2 linked regions of the Lonchura striata genome follow. The protein of the gene in region 1 interacts with the protein of each later gene in a pairwise test. Links are inferred from orthologs where the notes say so. Each region holds a gene or a part of one and is shown on either strand. Other genes may lie near its edges.

Region 1 (6,848 bases):
AGGTGAGTTGTGATATAATTTGCATTTGAGCTAAGACAGTAAATATGCAAGGTCTATGTGGATAGCTGCTAATATTGCAGAAATTATTAGCTGCCATTAGCCTGTCACTGGCATCCTGGGACACAGTCACATGCAGACAGCAAGTAATCATAATTTTATGCATTTTCTTGCTGAAGTCATTTCAAGTACTGACATGTGAAGTTGCTCCCATGCCTCTTAGCAGGACAAGCTCATTGGAGTATAATCCTAATTTTGTCAAGAGTTACACAGGTCCTGTGGAGCAGATTGCCAAAAGCATTTACATACCTAGTTCCTAATGATTTTGCAGTAGACATCCATTTGACAACCTGCATTTTAGTTCTGTAGAGCCAACCTACCCTGAAGCAGGTTTTCCAATGCTGCTCTCCCAGGGAACTAAATAGGCATTCAATCTGTTACTGCTTTCCCTGATTAAATGAACTGAAGCAATGAGGATTCATTGCCTGCATCCACTATCAGAGCAAACATCATGCAGAAATATTGGAGAGAAACAAAAAGTGATGTAAGGATTAACTGTGGAAAACTAGCCATTAAAATGGCTCAGACTTGAAGCAGAGCTCACCGTAGTCCATCCTATCTGTGGCCCTAAATCTTTAAAGTATAAGGTAGCTGTTGTGCCAACAGGGAGGTGCTGCAGGATTTCTTCATCCCTCAGGGACTTTCCTTCTGAGAAGGAAAGAAGTAATTACATCTTAGTGACATTGAAGTCCACTTTGGAAGCATACTAGCTTTATATGGTGCTTTATCTATGAGAGGCCTTGATGTGATGTGGGTTTAGTGGAATCGCATTAAAAAGACCAAGAATATTTACACTTATTTTTTATTTATCCCTGTAATCACATATAACCCTGGATCCTCTGTTCACACCAAAACAGTTAAAAAGACTTCTCAGTCCTATGTGCCTGCCTAGTCTAGTAGAATTTCTTCATCACTGCCAACAGCAGAATTTGTTGATGGGGCAATGCCCTTTATCACAGTTCACTGACCTCCTAGTCAGCTGCAACTCTCTCTACTGCTCTTCTCATTGCTCATCATCAGACAAACAGAAGATGTGTTTGGAAAACTCTCCTATAGAAATTTTCATGCCTTCTTTTCCAAAACAACCAGCTAGGAGGTGATTCCACTGTACTTGAGCTTTTAATGCCTAGATTTGGAGGAATCTCCAGAAGGCCAGCATTTTCTCATGGCAAGTCTCACTACATAAATTATTAGAGGAATCTGATAAGAGAGACCTTCAAAGAAGGAAACAAATAATCATACACCTATTTTCCATGTCCAGATTTTACACAATGAGCAAATCTTCACCAGCATACTTTTAAGGGATTGTTTAAATAAACTTATCCTTAATGAAAGCAAAGGAAGAAAGTGTTACATTTTAGCTAAAATTAATTAACACAGTTTGGCAATTAGACTTTCTTTTGTGGACTCAGGCCACATAAGAGGCTTCTAGTAGCAATACCTACAAGTGTATTAATGAAGTCAGACAGCTGTCATCAGCTTTGTCAGCAATTGCTACATCCACAGCAATGTCTCCTGCATTAGCTTCCATCAAAAGCCCTGTAATTCCTGCCTGAGAACAGGATTATGTGCATTGATAGCTCAAACTTAAAACCCCTTTTGGTACTCCCAGCTGAGCAGCATCATGGTTATCATTTGACTGCAGCTAAGGGCAGTGAGTATCTAGATCCTATGCAGTCTCTCTGAAAAGCAACAGTGCTCAGTAGTTAAGAAAGTGCATTGGAACAAGGTGCAAAGTCCTGAGTTAATTACCAGGCACCAGGGTGTAACTGTATTTCCTTCCAAAGAATTGTATTTGTTCTGGATTCTCTTCAGCCTTCACAGTGCTAATTAGCACAGCTGGAAACAGATTCTCAAGTGCCAATACCCTTAAGTACACCTTTCATGCCAGGGCCCTGCTCAGTTTAGTTACTCCAGACCTCACAAGTACTTACTTGGATCAAGTTTTATTGACTGCCTTGCTGGGTACCACCGAGGATCTGTAAGGATATACAGAGTTGTGTGATATACAACGTTCAGTTTACATCACCCACTACTACAATGAACCCAATACAACAAGAAAAAAACCTTTGTTCAAAGGTTTTTATAAATATTTATTAAACACTAATATAGGTGATAATTACGCAGCAGAAAAAATGCAGAGCTGTATCAGGATAGGATAAAATAATTTTACTGAAATCTCACTGTGATCACATTCATGTGCAGGTTATCAGCATTATGTGTGAGCATATTAAGTTTCAAATTATGTAGTTTTTTCCTATTTATGTACTGGATATTCTGATAGGATGTGAGCTGCTGCAGAAGTTATACTCACATAATTTATGGAACATCAATCTGATCTCTCTAATTGTAGCATTTGGTTCCACCTAGGCAACAAAAATATTGTAAATATAAGATGTAAGTTTTGAAAGACAACTACTAGGTGTAAGACTATTGAGCCAAATAGAAATGTGATTTAGACAATGTAACTATTTCTTACAGATGTCTAGCCTTGGCATAAAGGATTCAAAGAACTGACAGGAAAAAGGCAGGACAATTTTTGACACCTGTTTCAGAGGCAGCTTCTCTAGCAGTGATCAGGAGTTACTACTACTACAGCAGAGACAATTTGATGGCTTCTGAGTACCACACAACTTGCACCCTCTTAGTAAAGCAACTGAAGTTGTCCTTTTTGCCTAAAAGCTCCTTCTGGAAAAGAGTTGAAATACACTGTAGTAAGTATGAAGTTTGCATAATCATTGCAAGTGGCCAAGGAATGGCTACCAGTAGATGAAATACCCTTCATAAACACCAAATTTTACTTAAGAAAAGTTAGTAATTTCTAAAAAAGTCACCTAGTCTTTTAAGCAGATTTTTGTTTTACCTTATCTAGGAAGCATAGCTGTTTCTTTGTCTCCCAATCAAGGATTTCCACCTGAGAGGACATAAAATGATAATTAATCATTATTAGCTAAATAATATTTAAATAATATGTAAACTCTTAACTGATTCCCACATTCATAATAAATGTGACTCTCAGAGTGGGACATGGTTTTTCTCTGATCTGTGAATTGAGTTAAAAACCTTCTTAATGTTCTCAAGAGACAGCTTCAATCACCAGTTTCCAAAAACACTCAACTTGGAAAAAAAAAAAGCCAAATGAATTGCTTTCTTGGATATATTCAGTAGCAGAAGTAGCTAAGTTTTTGATCAAAAATGTGATTTGGGCTATTTTTTTATGCTAGAGCAAGTGGAACAAGTAAGGGGTAGAAAAGTTTCACAGGATTCACTAAGGAAGAGTACTTTTATGATTCATAACATTATGAAGAGTTTAAGAAAAATTTTAAATGTGTATATATATGCATATAAGCAAATATTCTCAGTACATATAGCTTGAAGATTATTGTGTATTGTTTCCAGAATATTTTAATTGCAAGGAGAGTGGAAAATATTGGTGGATATAATGAACAAATGCAGCTAAATATCTGGGCTTCAAAAACACTTAAACATTTGTTATAGGAATAGTGTTACTCCTGCCTCTTCAATCACTTGTTAAATTAATTACATATTAGCATTTTATATTCCAAGCAGAGGTTTAGCTACAGCTGTGAAAAGGAAAGAGCAGTTTATTTCCACAATCAAATGACAGTTTGGCAAAATATTATGATTTTGATCAACAGCCAAGGGAAAAGACCCCAGACATTTCAAAGCCCAGTTGCAGCAGCTCCCTAAACCTCATTGCAGTTGTTGGGATTTTTATATAAACATCTAGCATTAATTATGTTTGGTATTAACTGGCCAAGAGAATAGATTAACATTAGACTTTAAATATGATTCCTCACTAAAAATAGGAGTCACAGTCCAGTATCTTTCTCAGAGGGTTGCTTTGAAGAGCTCATTTGGTTGGAGTATCTTATTTCCTTGTTTCACTTGTCCCAAAGGGTTCTTCTTCTCCAGTCACACCTATCAAATCTGATCTCCACAAGGAACACTAATGCTGTGGTATTTTCTGCCTGTGCATTGTAAGCTCTAACTGGGACATTGCGGGAGAGAAGTGCCGTTCCTCTTTTGTGATATGTAACAAGTGTGTGATGGATTGTTAGGATTTGTTTTCCCTTGGTTTTTTATATTTAAAATAATACACTTTTCCAATTTTAATGTCTGTTTGTGTGAAATCTCCATGGGAAAGCAAATGAAGTGGATTCCTTTCCCAGAAGACTATTCTTGAAAGACATCATTCTGACACTTGCAGTCCACAGAACAAGTACAGGGCAGAGAGGAGGCTGTACACCACTTTTTATCCCTTCTGATGCCAAGTTTCTACAAGGACCATTGAAACCTTGCGTGTATCTCAAGGCTCTTTTGTCAACAAATACCATTGAGCTGCCTTGCAGACTGCAGCAGTGCCTACACTTTTAGCAGTGTCCTTCCCATCCCATACCCAACCCAAATATATATATTTTTTTATCAGAATCTCCCAGGGGCAGTTTTAATTTATGGCCCCCAGTGGTTGTATTAGAGCGATATTCTCCAGGTCAATTACAGTGGTTTAAATATCTTTCTGCCACCTAAGGTATTTTAGTTGGGTTATTCTTGCTATGCACAAGACTAGACTGAAAATTACAGAGTTTTTCTTTTGCTCTGTGGTTTTCATGCAAGTGGCTGTAGAGAAATCTCTGTGAGCCTTTAGAATCAGTGTGGGAAACAAACAAATAAAGCTTGATTTCACTGTTATTTGGTTCTGTTCCAGCACAATGCTTTCAAATGCCAAACTGTCGTACTTGCCTATACTGGTCCATGCAAATACCTAAAGGAAGCTTACAGAGATGATGGATCCAGATTCTTACAGAGATCATGGTGACAGGGAATGTATCTGGATGCAATAGGAGAAAATCCAGACACAAGGAATTTTTTTCATCACAAGATAGGCCAAATATTAGAAGTTGCTTAGAGAGGATGGGGAATCTCCATTCTTGGAGACATTTAAAGCTAGACTGGACAGGATCCAATGCCATTTAATCTGCATATATCTGCTTTGAGCAGGAGTTTGACTTCATGATTTCCACAAGGCTCCTGCAACCTAAATTGCTCAATGAGTCTTTTTTTTTTCTTTCTCTTCAAACATTTAATTTACTTTCAAGATCTAAGCAAATATCAAATGTTCTTTCCCTTTTCAGAAAGATGGATGCTGGAACAGCTTTCAGTTCCACTCCAGTGCACAGCAAATTGTGCAGCATCAGAGTGAAAGCAAGGTGACTGTTTCCTCTATCACGCCTCTTAGATTTATCAGAACATCCCCCAGTGTAGGTGTTCCCTGCACAAGGAACAGAAAAGCCTGATCCAAAGCAAGAAATGGTAGTTCCTGAACATCCTGGCCAATCCCATGAAGCAGCCTAGCACTGAACACAGTGTTTCCAGCCTTGAGGCACAGCACCAAGGCAGTTAATGCATTGGCTGGCAACAGTTTTTAGACACCCGGCAATCTGTTCTTGGAACACTTACTGATGGGTATCATCTCTTCTAAACATAAATCCTTTGGCTCAGAGAACTTTAATTTCATTGTGTTTTCAAAGCATTTAGCACAATAGGACACCAACTGTTGGCCTGCATTAGTGCAGTAAGACAGTCCATTTATTTGGTGAATTTTTAAAGACATTTTAAAATACAGCTTCTCTGAGACTACTTAGAGTAGAACTTAATCAATAGGCAGATTTTTAGAAGACATTAAAAACTCTTTTATAAGTGACTACAAATATTTGATGTTTAGAAGACATATTTCTTCAATTGCATATGGATTGAAGATTGATAGTGTAATTAGTAAAAGAAAAAATCTTGATTATTAATGTTTAGATCACAGACAAGTTGGGGGCAAGCAATAATCAATACACAATATAAGCAGAGAAAATTCTATTCAGCTGTTAAATTTTTATCTGGAAAATAAAAACTTAAAATAAAAGTATTCATAAGGGGAAAACAGCTGAGCAAAGTGTTTAAAAAGTTTTTAAGATGCAGTGTCTCTGTAATAGGATTACAAAAACATAGTCACTTGAATTCCTGCTTTAGCTATAGCTAAAGTGCTAAAGGATCAGCAGATCTTCAAAAATAATGTGATAACTATTATGGAAATACTGACACATTTATCATGTCTGTGCATCTTAGAAGTTTAATTTGAAACCATTTGTAATCAGTAAATTGAGTAAACCTGAGTGAGACTTTATAAGCACTGACATAAGCATATATTGTATTGATTTATTTTTAAATTACTCAGATTTTCAAAAAAAAAAAAAAAAAGTTTATTTCACAGTATAGGAACCAACCAGTCTGAGAAAGAGCAATGCAGAATGAATTCTCCCTGAACTGTTGAATGCTTACATAAATCAGTTTATTTGAATTTAACTCTAAAAAATTAATCCAGTGGTTGCCACAGTCCAAACTGTGGCAAACTGAACCTTTCTCAGCATTTTTCCTATAGAATTATTCATTTTCTCTATCTCCTTTGACTTTTCTTTTATTGTTTCTGAAGGGAGTAAGCATGCCTTAGTGTGATCTCACACTAGGGCATATCAAGAATAGTTTTTTCAAGTCAAGAGTTAAGCCAAAGGGAGATTGCTGTAAGTGTACTTAGACTGAAAATTCTGTTTGTACTACTGCTTTACAATTGACTATCAGTCTGAAGCTTCTCTTGCACCAAAAGGTACAAACTGTTGTAGAGGATGGGTCTAAGGATCCATCTAGAACTAGTTTCTGAAACAGCCAGCAGCATGTGATTTAGAAAAAGTAATAAAACAGGGCAAGAATGTAGTGACTGAGGG
Region 2 (7,322 bases), on another chromosome or scaffold:
ATGGACAATAAAACCTGAGCAAGTACAGCTGAGAACCAACTGCAGTACTGGTTATCCCCTGTTGTACCATGATTGTCCCCTTTCTAAAAAAAATACCCACCCAAAACATGAACCAAATAGTACATGCATGCAGCTCCAGTCAGAGATCCACAGGTACATAAGCTTTTTGTACAGTTTTGCTCTTGTAAAACCCATTGCATGGTTTTTTTATGTAGGAATCCATACACCACGTGCACTACAGCATAAAACTAGAAACAAGATCTATTATTTTTGGAGTAAGTTGTGTTTTCTTTAGCTAAGCCAAGACAAATGCAAAGTAAATACAGTAGCTATGCTGACATGTTTTAACTGTTATTTGATCTATTTTAAATACAGTTGATAGTCAAGGCAACTATGGTTTTAGAACATTTACTTTAGTACCTATTTACTGCACTATTATCTTGATGTGTCCTTCAGTATATAAGCCTTTTGTAAACCAAACCAAACAAACCACTTCCAAAAAACCCCAATGTGCTGTTAGAGCATCACTTCATCACTTGGGCATCTTGAATTTTTTGGTTTTTTTCTTTTCACAGTTCTCTTTCCAAGGCAGTGCAGTTGGAGAAACTAAATCTGAGCACTCTGACTGACACGGGGCCAGTAAATAATCAGTGCCACCAGCTGTGTATCAATCATTAGATCTTTTAATCTGAACAACTGTGATTCTGTCAACCAACTCCAGAAAAACTACCTTTTTAAAAGGCTTCACAATAAAAAGAAAAAAACTGAGCTTTTTTTCCTAAGCTCAACCTTGTACATTGTGGAATTTCAGCAGTGTCCAGGGGAAGTGCCAACTCAACATCCATTTGAAGAGGAATTATCAGTGAGAGCTCTTGGTGACCTACCCCGAAAGAGAAATGAGAGACAACACAGAGATATGACCATGACCACAGAACTCGTATGTAACTCCCCAAATTGCAGAAATCATCTAATCACAACCATCTCCAGAAAAAAGCAGCTCATGTTAGAAAAACATAAATCACATCCAACCCAAGAGTGGAATTTTCTAAGAGGTTTGGTCTAAATCAAGAAAATCGGTAACACTGAGATCAAGATTTATATGACAACAGAAAGCTAAATAGAGGTTTATGTTATTTATTTGAGTTTCCAGCACTCATTTTTTTTTAATTTGTTCTTCTGAAGAAATAGAAATTTCCCATGCTCAGGAGCTTGCACGCCATGACAAAAAGTTCATGACCACGAAGAAAACTTTCCATTTATACCACAGCTTCTCTCTCAGGTTTTTTATGTCTTTTATAAACACAAGCAAATTGCATATGAGCAACAAAATAAGCAGGGAAATGCTTTTGTTTCTTAGAAGAATTCAGAGGTGAACTTGTTAACATGGTGCAGGGACACCACAACAAAACTGAAAAGTTTTCCTGACTGCCTGCAATATGTTGTATTACTCACGTAATTATTTCTGAAACAATGGATTACTTAAATTAAGCTGGTGGGTAATTATCCTTGCCCTCTGAGTGAAATACCCTGCAAATATCCTATGGAGCCATAAAGCAGCTCAGTAACATTTCACAGTAACACAGCTGTTGGGCAATGGGTGTACCAAGCACCTCACAAGAACTGAGCTCTCTCAGCTCCCCTACCTCTGATCCATACAAGTGTAAATATCTTGTAACCTGAAATAGCATCAGCTGCCACCAGCAAAGACAAGAATCTTCATGTCCAACTGCCTTATTGAAGTGAATCATATCTATATTAATTCTACACTAACCTTCCTCCCAAACATGACACTACTCTGTTTACTCGACTCCTCACCTGCCTGGGTTTATCTAGCAGAAAACACGCTCAGTTGGGATCTATTTTAAAGGCTTTTTTTTCTCCCACCCAAATATCCCCAGTCTTTCAAAAGATGGTTTTATTTTTATCCAGATTCCACGGAGATTCGACAGCCACAATTAATTTAAAAAAAGAAAAAAGTCTCCTTTCTCTTGAGAGTTCCCAGTTGCCAATATTTTTAGTTTTGTACCTAAGAACGCAAGCAAGCACCAATTGGCCACAGTCTGCATTTTGCTATGCAGGACGAGGGCAGAGCACCAGGCTGGTCCAGGAGCTCACATATCCCAAAAGCAGCTTCCAACCTCAAGTTACAGAAGTGCTGAAGGGTTTATGGAGAAATCTTGCAGGGCTCAAGATCTTTGCCTTTAACTACTGCTGTGGACAAATTCCCTGTATTTAGGGTCACCTCTCTAGTGAAATCTAGTGACATGGTGATGCAAGGAACCACCTGGATGTGAGAACTGCTGCAGCGCACATTAACGTGTCACTGATGCCGCACGGCAGCTCCCAGCGAGCGCACCGCGCTGCCGTGCGGAGCCCGTCCCGCAGGGCACGGCGGGCAGGCCGAGCTGCGGGGCCTGGCACGGGCTGGGCAGGGCCAGGCTCGGGGGCCCCGGGCACCCAGCCCGCATCACGGGCACGGTGAGAGCCGGGACAGCGGCAAGGCAGCTGAGCACGGACGCGCCGGAGCCGCTCTCCAGCACGAGGAGCAGCGAGCCCGGCTGCGCGCTTCGGCGTTACCCAGAGCGCCAGGCGGGGCCACCGACAGCTCGGGGGCTCGGGGCACAGCCCCGCGGCCGGACCGGAGCCGCAGCCGGGCGGTGCAGCCGCAGCGGCTCGGGGCGGACGGGAGCGCGGGCAGGGCGGCGGAGAGGCCGCTCGCTGCTCTCGGCCCGGCCCCGCTCCCTGCGGCGCGGGGAGCCCGGCCCGGCGCCGCCCTCGCTGCCCCGCCGGACCCACCCGCGGCCGCAGCCCGGCCGAGCGCAGCTCCGCGCCCCGGCCCCGGCGCCCCGCCGGCGGCCCCGCCCGCTCCTTACCCCGCCGTCATCACCACGTTGTAGATAACGAGGTAGCCCGTGGCCAGCGCGCCCGGGCCCTTCCTGCGCCGCGCCTGCTGCCCGCCGTAGCCGTTGTCCGCCCGGCTCCCGCCGCCGCCGGCCGCCGCCATCTCGCGGCTCCCGCGCCCCGCCCGCTGCCGGCGCTCGGCGCGCGCGGGGCGGGACTTGCCGCGGGCCGGCGGGGGCGGCTCCGCGCAGCCGCGGCACCGACCGCGCCCCGCGCCCGCCCCGCGCCGCCCCGCGCCCGCCCCGCGCCCGCCCCGCGCCGCCCCGCGCCCGCCCCGCGCCCGCCCCGCGCCGCCCCGCGCCCGCCGGGGTGTCCGGCTGGGACCCGCGGCCTCAGCGCTCGCCCGCCGCGGCTCGTCCAAAGCGCCCCTCGGCAGGGAGAAACAGGCGGGCCGTGACCTTAGAGACGCTAACAGCGTCAGTTGGTACGCTGTTAACGTCTCTGCGCTACATTGAGGGAATAGCTCGTAGGTTTTCATCACTTTTATAATATAGTTCAGAGGAGAGAAGGCTGAGAGGCGATGTCCATTAATGCGCATAAATGTCTTAAAGGCGGGTGGCGAGGATGGCGCCAGACTTTTCGGTGGTGCCCGGCCACAGGACAGGGAGCAATGGCCATAAACTAGCACAAGTTTCACCTCGGCGTGAGGAAGAGCTTCTTTACACTGAGGGTGGCAGAGCACTGAACAGGCTGCCCAGGGAAGTCCTGGGCTCTCCCTCTCTGGAGACATTCCAAACCCAGCTAGACACGTTCCTGTGTCACCTGCTCAGGCGATCCTGCCTTGACAAGGGGTTGGGCTGGATCATCTCCAGAGTCTCTTCCCACCCTAACAATTCGGTGATGCTGCATGAATGAGAAGTTGTAACTCATTTCCTGCCGAAGATCCATACAAGTGCAAAAAGCCTGGAAAGCATTACTTTCCCAGAAACAAACATTCTTGTCAGGCCTTTCTGAACAGCCATAAAAAGAATTTTTATTTTTTCTCTCCTACAGAAATTGTAAACACGTCGTGGAGTTACTTCTCCACTCCAGTAAACATCTCTCGGTTTATTTCCCATGCATGTCGTGGTGCAGTCCCTTTATGAGCAATGCAGAGTAACAACGTAAGCCTCACTCCCCATCTCAGAAAATTCTGCTTCCATGTGAGTATCTTTGTGACTCAAAAATTCATGTGCATGTATCTTGCAGACAATAGGTCTCAAAAGGCAAAGATGATTTATGAGAATTCCATTTCCAAACAGCTATGTTTTAGTGCAATATTTCAGTAAATGTACCAAGAAAATTTCGATAAACAAATCATCCATTATTCATGTATGCAAGTAGAAAAAAAACCAACAAAACAAGGTCTCTGTTTGCAAAGTCTGATAGTCACTGCAGAGGAGGGGGGTGTGCAGTCCAGTGTTATCTTCCTTGTCAGCAAAGGGAAGCAGAAACCCAGTGACTGCATGCCACACATGCAATTAACAAAGGTCTCCTCATCAAAGACAAATGTGCACAGGATGCTTGGGAGGTTGGACAGGATGGTCATTAAGTAAATTATGTTTCTGCAAATCCAGAAACCCAACTAATGTAAAACAGCAGCCAGCCCCAAATTCTCCACTGTCTCTTGAGAAGACTGAATGTCATACAAAAGAAATACAATAATTAAGTGGTCCACTTCAGGCAGTACCAGTGTCTTGTATAACCTCTGCCACTGGGGTTTCAGCCCTGTGGCACCCCAAGAGTGGATTTCTGGAAACATGATACAAGCAAGGCAAGGTTTATAGAAAGACGTAATGCCTTTTATTAAACCATGGCTGGCAAAATGAGACAGGGTTTCAAGTACATAAAATTTCTTTCTTCAGTGAAAATAGAATTCTATTCTTCAAACAAAGCAAAAAAAATCAAGGTCAAATACAGCTTGCAGTCAATTGCTCAGAGCTGAATCAGATGCATGTCACATAATTTTGGAAGTAGAGGTCATTGTTTCCTGCAGACTAGAATGGATGTTAATAGGAAGCTAGAGGAAGATGGTAAACTCCTTGGAATATCCTTGGGGCAAAAGAAAAATAGGCAGTTTATAGCCTGTGGAACACAAAAGGGAAGGAGGAGAGGGAAGGGAAGATCTGTGCAAGAGCAGCAATTCTGAGTCAGTGGGCTTTGATACAGAGCTTGCTGTGCCCGCAGAGCAGCCCAGCAGAGCCAGACCTTTTCCTGCTTCAGGCATGTGCCCACCTGCAGCAGGAAACCAGCAGTCACTGAACAAAGCCAGGTACATTCACAAGACAGTGGGGCACACCTTGCAAAGATGGCTTTTCGAAGGGCTGAGGATTTGCTCAAGAAGCACGTTGCTACAAGCAGGGTGCTTGCACAATCTTTGCTTTAAGGAGAGTCTGTGTGGTCCTGCATGGCTTGTGGTGATGTGGGCTGCATGTTGGCAGAAGTCTGAATAAAGGCAGCACAAGCAGATTTGTCCTTATCTCTGTCTTTACAGTTTTTAGAAACATTGGTGTAAGTCCGTATCTCCATTGAGGCTTCCCTGATTTTTTTCTCTCCTCCTCCCACAGACTTTCAGAACTCTATGTTTCCCCACCATGTGGGAATTCCCAACTCTGAAACAAACCCAGAGCTGCCCTGGTGCCCCATCCATGTTCCCATGGAGGCCTGTGGTGACGCTGGAGCCGTGGCAGGGCACGAGGCCACGAGTGCCAGCCCCAGGCTGCAGCTGGTGGCAGCGGGGCAGAGCAGCTCTGCAGAGCACCAGCTGGGCAGGGAAGGGCAGCAGCACCACAGACATCAGGGAGGCTCCACTGTTGCCACCTCAGGGGTTTGTGTGGCCAGCAGCTCCAGCAGCTCCCAGGGGCAGGAGGAGAGGCTTGGCCAAGGTGAACGCGGGGACGCTGCAATAGAGCATACGAGGAGTGTGCTTTGTGGTAGTATTTATTTAGGAACCGTGAGTAACTACAGCCGTAGCGGTCTCATCTTTGCAATTCTGATGGTTTAACAAACAGGGAGAACATTAGCATATTTTTATTAAGGTACAAAATACACCCCGTTGTTGCCTAAAACATTAAAAAAAAAAAAGTGAGGAAAGCTCTGTATGCTCTAAATCAGATTCAAAACCTTTCTGTATAAGGAATTGTGGCAATACTGTGTTTAGTATAACAAGAGGTTTGTATCAATCGAAAAGACATGCTGGCAATCTGAATTTAGCAACAAAGAGTAAAGCAGTTACAAACCGTTGTGTCACTCACATTAGCTGAGCTTTGAATGTAGAAGAGCAAATCATATGAAACACATACACAACTAGGTAATATCAAACAACCTAAGGCTGATAATGTACACACCTGTATTAAAGTACACTGACTACTTAATGGTGAGGATTTAAGGTAATGTCTTTTTTTAAAAGAGGTAACCTTTGATATGCAAATGGTTGCACTTTACACACAAAAAGTGGAAAAGAGAAAGAATCACTTTTGGAATGATACATAGATATAAGACACACTGGTTTTAGATTATGCATAACCACCTTGCAGCCTCTGATATTACCTCTGAACAAGACGAAAAACTTAAAAAGTGCCAATACTGTGAAAGGAAAGCAAAGTTACTAAGTCTGAGTGTGTTAACCATTTCTGAGAAAAAAATGGGGATTGGATTTTTTTTGTTTTGTTTTTCTGCGTTTTTAAAAAACGCAACAGCCTTACTGGTGCAGGTTCAAGACAAAAACAAGACAGTCAAGCTCATAAGGTAGAAATAGGTCCTATATAGGTTAAGATTCTTTGGAAATTGCTAAGAATAGAGGAGTTTGTAATCCAGGCTACTATCTTTTTGGCTACTCAAAAAATCCGTGGGAGTTTCCAGCTTATCATCAGTTGAAATCTGTTTTGCAATTGCCAAATAAATGCAAGTAAAACTTCAACTAACCTGGGATTCCATTCACAGACATGCACAGAGAAATCATTGATTGTGCAATAACCTGTTTTTTCATAGCAGCATATATACGAATCATAAGTCTTTATTAGACTGACTAGAAACAGAAAATATTCTCAGTCTTTGTGTTTTCTGTGTGTTTCTTAAGTAGGCAGCTGCAACTGCACTGAAGTGACAAGGCTCCATAAGGGAAAGGTGACAAAGTGGGATCAGCTGGCTAAAAGCAAGATCAGGAGTATCTCAGGAAACCACCTGGATGTTTAATGCTTGCCAGAAATACAAGGACACTAACAGCTCACCTCAGTCAGAGGCAGTGAAAAATGTTTGAAGTTTGGTCTGTGAGACTCTGCTTAAAGCAAACAAGAAAGGATCCATGCCAGCATACTAGTCACAATGCTGGCTGTGTCAAACCTTCCCTTACAGAAGATACAGCTCAGCCTATTCCTCAGGACTGGAGAGATTCACTGCATGTCTGGCCAACAATGCCTTTAAAGTCGATCTCAGGGAGCCAA

What was found.
Region 2: the proteins of very-long-chain enoyl-CoA reductase (region 1) and HACD2 interact in binary tests that used the Homo sapiens proteins (3 or more experiments, as listed by UniProt). The link is inferred for Lonchura striata from reciprocal best matches to the Homo sapiens genes TECR and HACD2.

What each region holds. Positions count from the first base shown.
Region 1 is NC_134611.1:20,996,574-21,003,421, reverse strand, and holds the start of very-long-chain enoyl-CoA reductase, read right to left. Parts: upstream 3,002-6,848; coding exon 2,921-3,001; intron 2,424-2,920; coding exon 2,372-2,423; intron 2,037-2,371; coding exon 1,992-2,036; intron 706-1,991; coding exon 602-705; intron 1-601. UniProt on the Homo sapiens protein: Involved in both the production of very long-chain fatty acids for sphingolipid synthesis and the degradation of the sphingosine moiety in sphingolipids through the sphingosine 1-phosphate metabolic pathway.
Region 2 is NC_134610.1:10,617,710-10,625,031, reverse strand, and holds the start of HACD2 (very-long-chain (3R)-3-hydroxyacyl-CoA dehydratase 2), read right to left. Parts: upstream 3,017-7,322; 5' UTR 3,005-3,016; coding exon 2,874-3,004; intron 1,250-2,873; exon of another isoform or gene 846-1,249; coding exon of another isoform or gene 790-845; intron 1-789. UniProt on the Homo sapiens protein: Catalyzes the third of the very long-chain fatty acids (VLCFA) elongation four-step cycle (condensation, reduction, dehydration, and reduction).